Drosophila melanogaster: one gene and its partner. The protein of the gene in region 2 interacts with the protein of the main gene of each other region in a pairwise test. Each region holds a gene or a part of one and is shown on either strand. Other genes may lie near its edges.

Evidence for each region. Proteins that work in one complex are often made in the same cells at the same time.
Region 1: the proteins of CG12017 (region 2) and cpo interact in a two-hybrid assay, tested with the Drosophila melanogaster proteins (one large-scale study listed by BioGRID).

The regions. Positions count from the first base shown.
Region 1 is NT_033777.3:17,917,786-17,921,542, reverse strand, and holds the start of cpo (couch potato), read right to left. Parts: upstream 1,712-3,757; 5' UTR 74-1,711; intron 1-73. UniProt on the Drosophila melanogaster protein: May play a role in the development or function of the peripheral nervous system by regulating the processing of nervous system-specific transcripts.
Region 2 is NT_037436.4:3,278,159-3,281,915, forward strand, and holds the start of CG12017 (uncharacterized protein), read left to right. Parts: upstream 1-2,080; 5' UTR 2,081-2,403; coding exon 2,404-2,560; intron 2,561-3,757.

The DNA of each region.
Region 1 (3,757 bases), on a different chromosome or scaffold from region 2:
ACACAATCCTTTACGTTTATTCCACAGAAGCCCACCATTTTCAGTTAATGGTTTCATTATTGTGAAAACTTACCTTTTAAGAACTTTAGTTATTTTTCAATCCGTCGTCTGGAATTCAATGAAGTCTTCTCGTCATTTGCAATTGGTCCGCTTGATAAAGTAATTAATATTTTCGCGTAGCATTCATAAACACGCAGTCTAATTTAATTGATATGTTTTCTAGTCGTTATAGTTTTAGACTTTTGCTGAGGCTTCCTCAATGATATGTGACAATATTGTTGTATGTATATATCTCTCTCTTGTTATATTCGAGACAACTAATGTAAAACTTCTAACAAAAATTACTGTTCTTTTGGATTTTCTAAGGTAACTAGATCTTAGATAATTGTAAATTTAATATTTATATTTGCTCTTTGCAAGAGCTTTGATATGTATGCGATAATTTGCACAACTCTCCTTAGGCTAGTTCATTTGTTTTGTTTTTTATTTTGTTGATAAGATAAAAAAGCTTGATTAGGGATTCAGCAAGCTTTTTAGGCGTTTTACATGATATGTTTACGTTTCCATTCGTAGATTTTTTTAATTTCTTGAATTACATTTCTTTTAAATGTGCTAATTTAATATACTTTTCATATTTCACCTTTTGGCATTAAACGATTTACATGATATGTATGGTTATCGCATTGGTTTCTATTCTTTTAAGACAATAAAATATCGTTTTGGTTTTTAGGTAATTGCTGGAATTATTTAGCTGCTTGTCTCAGCTTTTTTTGTTGTTGTATATTTAGTTATTTAATATTTTCTATAGACTATAGAATGATATGTGTTGATATGAGTCTTTTCTTTTAAGTTACATTTCTAAAATATATTTATCGTGCGTTTTTTTTTTATTTTGTCAGCATTCTCTTAAGGGCTTAACTTTTGTTTATAAATTTTCCATCCACTGTGAATGTCTTCCACAAAATTGCGATGTTGTCTCTTGGACTTTCTCTTCCGACTCTGGCTCTCTTTCGCAGTAATGGCTGCTTTCTCTTACTCCTCGAGCCCCCTTTCTCCAACTCCGCGACCTCCTCCGCGCTTTCTTCCTCTCGCTCTCTTTTTGCCCACGCTCCTTCTCCACCCCCTTCTCTTTGCTTTCACAGGCGGCAACGGCAGCGGCAGTTTCTCTATGTATTCGTTTTTTTTTCCTGCCGTTGTATTTCAGTAACTTTTTCCGATTCCGCTTTGGGCCCGCATTCGCTTTCACCGAAAAAAACCGTAGGCGAACAAACAACAACAACTCGGGTTGGAAATTATTTATTCAAGTCAATTAAGTTTTTATGCCCGGGAATTTGTCGATTTTCGGTAATTATCTCTGGCGCAGATTGGGTTAATCCGTATATCCTGGAAGATATATGTAGATAGATATATCCTCTTTGCCGCTGCCGTTGGACGGCCCACACCCGTAAAAATAGCAAAGCAATGGAAATTATACAATCACTGGCTGCGAATTCGAAACAATAAATTTTTGGTGGCACTCGCGTTTCGAAGAATTTCTCGATTTGGCTTCGGAATAAGTTGGCTGCGCCCTGCGGGGTATGCAGCGTTTTATTTATCGCACAATTTCAGATATTGGTCTCAATTTGGCTATATTTTTCGGGGTTTTCACTATATATATCGCTGGCCTCTGTGTTCGCTGCGTGTGACTGAGTCGGAGTGTTTTCGTTTACTCAGGAGCCAGCGCAGGATGCGTGCGATGCCAGGCCATGAATTTTTCATCATCGGGCATCCTTATTAGAGATTTTCGCCCCATCTCGTTGAGATTGCTGCGCGCAGATCCAAAAAGCATCCAAGAGAGCGTAGAAAAGAGCGAACGGAAGTCCTGCGAGAGCGCCCACACACACGCACACATTTGTTATTAAGTGCTTGTTGTGGGTGGTGCATCTCCTTAATATTAACCCCCCGCCTGAAATAAAATTCTCAATTTTCCCTGGCCCTTGCATTTCGTTCAAGGCCCATCATAATCTCATTCAGGTATTTTTCCTGAATTTTTTCCTTGCTTTTTCGGGGGTTGTTTGGCTGTCTTCCATTTGGTGGGGGTCCGTGTTTTACGGCAAGGGGCGGCTTTTTGGGGGTGGCTTTATCTTTATCTGTTTGTTTTTCGCTCTCTTGTCGCTTATATAGCTTTCACATTGTCTGCCTTAATGGTCTTGTCACTTTGACATATCCCGTAGAAGAGCGAAAGATAGAAAGCGTATTAATTCTGCGCAGGTTTTTAGAGAAGACGAAAGGCGTACTTTGGTACAATGGTAGCTGAATCGGCTAAATTTATGACTATTTCCGGTGGTTGCCTTGGCTAATACAGCGAAGTTTCTAATTCGCCGCACAATTGAATTGTAGTGGCGCGCCGGCAGGTGTCGCTTTAGTTGTAGATGTAGATTTTCAAAAATATGTATATTTTTCTATTAAAATAAATACGTATTAAAATCATTGTTGTAAAATAAATTTAAAGAATTTTTTTTTAATTTCAATTAAATCACATACTTTTTTTTAATTAAATTTATATGACAGAGGTAGAAGTTTTTTAAAAACACCCTTTCGAACAAATATGCATTTTGTTTGTGATGTAGCACAATATTTTGTTATGATAACCAATGCCTTAAGTAATTATAATTTTTTTTTAAAATATGTTATAATTCAACTTAAATTTAAATTTGTGCTCATCCAAAACCAGGCAGTCTTTAATTGCCTGTGCAAATAGACCTAATTTCCATAGCTTTCACCAGGCAACAAAAATAACAAAATCAGCCATAACGATTGTTTGACAAACAATAATAGAAAAATCAAAATACATCAGGTTTATATGTGTACACTTATATAAACAGCCTGATTACGCAGTTGAGCTTGCAAACAATAAATTAAATTACACCATAATACGTTTGTGGGCTTTCACTTGTATTTGAAGTGCTTTTATTCACGTGCAGCTTGAAATCAACTAAAGTTAACTCTTAGAAATTGTAAAGCATCTCTTCCTTGTAATTACCTTACAACACAGCATTCGCTGGCCCCAAGAAATTCTTGTCAAAAACTTCCTTCGAGAAAGCCCCCTTTGCAGTCTCTCTCTCTCTCTCTTTAATTGCGCATTTCGACTTTTCTTGGATGACATCTGTTGGCCTTCCTGCCCTGCGTCCTAGCCCAAGTATGTTTTCTTCTTGTTTTTTCTTTTTTTTTTTTGGTTAAAATGAAAATCAATAAAAAGCTCAATGACGTCAGCCGCCCAGACACACACACAAACGCACACACACGCACACTTACAAAGTAAGCGGCAACATCGGAAAATGCTGGCGGCCAAATACAGCTCCTGGCACTCCCAGACTCCACCTGCCACTCCCCCCGCCCACGTAGCTTGCTCTCATCTCCGCCGGAAATCCAATCGCTCCCCTTCGTGTGCCAGTGTGTGTGTGTGCCGGCGACTGTGCGAGTGTTGCGGGTGTGCGAGTGTTGCGAGCCGAAGACACTGCACGTGAGCAGGCTATCAGCAATGGAATAAGAGTTTCGACAGCCAGAAACGCGTTTATCTTTCTGTTTTCAGCTGTCATACGCTGAGAACAAATTTGTAGTTGAATTAAGACAAACTAAAGTAATATTCTATTAATTAAATGGTTTTTAGTATTATAATAAAAATATTTTTAATTTGTACCTAGATCAATTCCCAAACTAAAACTATTGTTATATGGGACTTTGATAGTTAAACTACAAATAAGATACTGCAGATATT
Region 2 (3,757 bases):
TACTTAGATAACTTGTAAAGTACTTAGATTGTATAGTTTTGTTTTTTAATATCTAGTCAAAAAATCCTGAGTTTTATATCGTATTTGAGTTTGTATATAGATGCACTACCAGTTTTGAAAGCATTTCATCTTTGACTTAAATGCCATATTGTAATTTTAAAATCGCAACATTTGGAAATGCAAAGAAATGTGATTTCCATTCAATTAATTTTTAAAATACGATATCTGGCATGTAAAGTGTTGATGTAAAGCTTTATGAAAATATGAATTGGAAGTTTTGAAAGACATTAATTATAGTGATTTCTTCCCATGTATGAGCCTGTATCGGGAGTTGGGGGCTGGGGACGTGCTGTCAGCGTATCTGGCTGCTCTCACTCTCTTTCTAACATGATAATTGGACATGGCCTGGGAACGGGTATGTCAGCTACCTTATGGCTACCAGACGAGGCAGCCAACCAAACAACCAACCAACCCTGGCGACATCTTTGGCAGCCCTATGTCTCCTTAATTGCCTGTCGCCTGTCCGCTGAAAGTGAAATTGATATATGATATGGGGGGGGAGATATACCAACTTACTTATATACGTATAAATGAGCGTTCATCACGAATTCTTCGCTAATTCGCCGCTCACAATGGATAATTTCGTAATTCGGGGGCTAATCAAAAATTCGAGCAGTGTGCGAGTGCGTTGACCAAATGGGATTGGGGACCCGATTCGGTCACACCTCGTTTTTTTTTACACTTTAATCAGAAAATATCAATAAATTGTGCAAACTTTCTTTTTGTGCGTGTCAATGTTGTGTGAGGGCGTCCCATGATATGTACTCTCTATAAGATCAGCTTGTGATGCAGACCGAGCCCTTACACACAAATAGCATTAGTTTGCGAATTATCCAAATCAGTTATGGACACAACCTAAGTAAAGAGATAAAAAACTTTCATTTTTCATTTGCTCGACAGGTGAAGAAACGTGTCTCTCCTCAGCCAGAATTTATCAATGATGCAACTGTCTTTCAGTTTGCCTAAACTTAACTTGCTTAATTTGGTTAACAAATTGTTGATGCAATACACGCGAGGTGCTAATGAATTTCGTTAGGGAAAAGGTAAAAGTGATGAAGGGGTATGTTAAAGATATATGTGTGCTCACTCATGTGGGTTGAAATTTGTTTGCTGCTGCGAGGAAAATCTCCATGGAGCAACCAACTTCTTGACCCCATAAAGGATTTGCATCTACCATATAAGCATTTCGCCACAGGATTAGCATCTCACGATCGACTTTCCAATGATATCCAGGAGTTCATATGTCACTCTTGGCAGTGAAAAGAAGAGTTCGACTTGTGGGTTATTCATGGCATTCATTGAGGATTGATGCAGATTATTCAGTTATCTGCAAAAAAAACTTGGTTACTGATTTAATAGAAAATGATTGAGCCTGCAATAGATTTTCATTTGAGTTGGTTTATTTATAGTAAACAAAACTTATATTTTTGTTGGCCACTAATGGTCTTTTTAGATATAATTGATTATAAATGAGCAAATGAGTTGTGCAAAACAAGCATAGATCGTAGGTTAATAGGATTTAAATAGGCTAACTAGTGGATTTATTATAAAATATAAATAAAAACAATGAAAATCAAAGCTTCTTTGTTGGGGATAAGCTTAAAACCCAAGGCACCTTTTGTTTACAAAGAGATGTTGCTAACACAATACTTGCCGGTTCGCTCCCTGCGTTTAGGTCAAGTCAAAGTTCGATGGTTTACATATGACCACCAGAGAATTGCCGAGAGAATTCCTGGAGTATCGCATTCAGTGTGACACTGAAAATGCGCATAGCGGACAGCTTAATTGATCCGTTTGTTCAGTGCATGCCGCACATTTGCTAAAATCCACACCGGCCAACAACAAGTCAATAGCCAGGTGGGTAGCCAAGTTACCAACTTACCAATTTACCTGGCCGTTGGAAGAGAGCCGCTTTTGGCCACCTCGGCTGCCAACTTTCCAAAGAGCCGCTCCATGAGCGCTTTCACATCGCAACTCTCTTAAGTCGCGGTTTGGTATAAAACTTCTTACGTATGCGCGTCATGGCTTAATCTTACCTTGAACTTGGTCGTGAGCAGATCGCCGAGGAGCCAGTGCATCCACATAATCACCTACCCATAACAACAAACAATATTCGTGCGGGTTTTCGATTCGGGTTTTTTGGAAAATAGAATTTGAAAATGGAACAAAGCGCCGTTGTTCTTGTGCGTGCCGATAAACGTATATAAATCACGTGTGTGTGTGCTACTGACTTTGGTTTCTCCAGATTTCCGATTTCATCTAACGGTGCTAGTGAACATACAATATAATATAAATCCACATCGAAGATTAGGAGAGAGGGGCGGCCAATACTAACTATACAAAATGGACTGGCAGCCGGCAGTTATAGCAGGCCTCATCTGTCTGCTCCTGCCAACGCAGATTTCTTTGGCCAAAGCCTGGAGTTTGCCAGCCCGCCATGCAGATCGTTCAGATCTGGCTTTATCGCCAGCACACCAGCAAGTTGGACGACGATTAAATGGTAAGACAGGTCTCCAATCAAAGCTGCTGAGACTCTCTTGCAGCTCCCAAAATTTCTCTGTATTTTAATTTCGTATTTTTTTGGTGTAATATAACGAGTTGTGAGCCAGCAGACAAAGAAACAAAACATAAACAAAAGCCCTAAGTAAAATACGTTTATTGCAGTGAAATTTCAGTTCATTAAGCTGCCTGTGAGAGTGGCGATTTCAGCGTTCGGCAATTATATAATCGGCCAGCCGCCAAACGAAAGTCGCCACTGTCACTGCCACCGAAGCCAAAGAATCGCCAAGATTTATGAGCCACCAGAGTGGCCGCAGATCCATCAGGGCTGTCACTGTAAAACAGGCATCAATCTTGGCCAGCACACGATTCTCCCTCCATCTGGGGAAAAAGATCATAAATAGTTGCAGTGAAAATATATTTTAAGAATATATGTATTGCACACCCACTTTTAGTACCAAATACTAATGAGAAAACATTATATTATTCGGAACTATCTAACATATTGTTTAGAAATTTTGGTGGTTTAACAGAAAAATGATTAATGGCACACGAAAACCCTATTGAAATCTTAATTTCCCCTAATGTTTTTATGAGCTGTCAATCAGGTGACTTCGATGGGCAATGCAGCATAACAAAGTAGCTTGCATGCGACTTGGTTCTTACCAATTTGGTTCTGTTACGTTGTGGAGCGTACGACACTTTTTTCGTGGCCGCTGCTGTTCAGCTTTGTTTCAAGCCACTACAAAGTCTCGAGTGCATGGCGAACAATTAGCAAAGGAAACGGCTCCGAGCTGTGGGGCAACGCATCCAGAAGTAACATAGACATTATTCAGCGAGCACAGTCAAGAATTCTGAGAATTATCACTGGAGCGCCGTGGTACCTTCGGAACGAAAACATACACAGAGACCTAAAAATCAAATTAGTAATCGAAGTAATAGCTGAGAAAAAAACGAAGTATAACGAAAAGCTGACCACCCATACAAATCCCCTCGCAAGAAAACTAATCCGAGTATGCAGTCAAAGCCGGCTGCACCGCAACGACCTCCCAGCCCAGCAATAAACTTATTAGGGCATTAATGAAAAAAAAAAACTATCACTAAGTGAAAGTTAATTAAGTTAGATTAAGATTTGAACACTTATTGTTAGTCTCTTAACACAAAGGGAAGATTCAATAAATAATAAAAATTAAAAAAA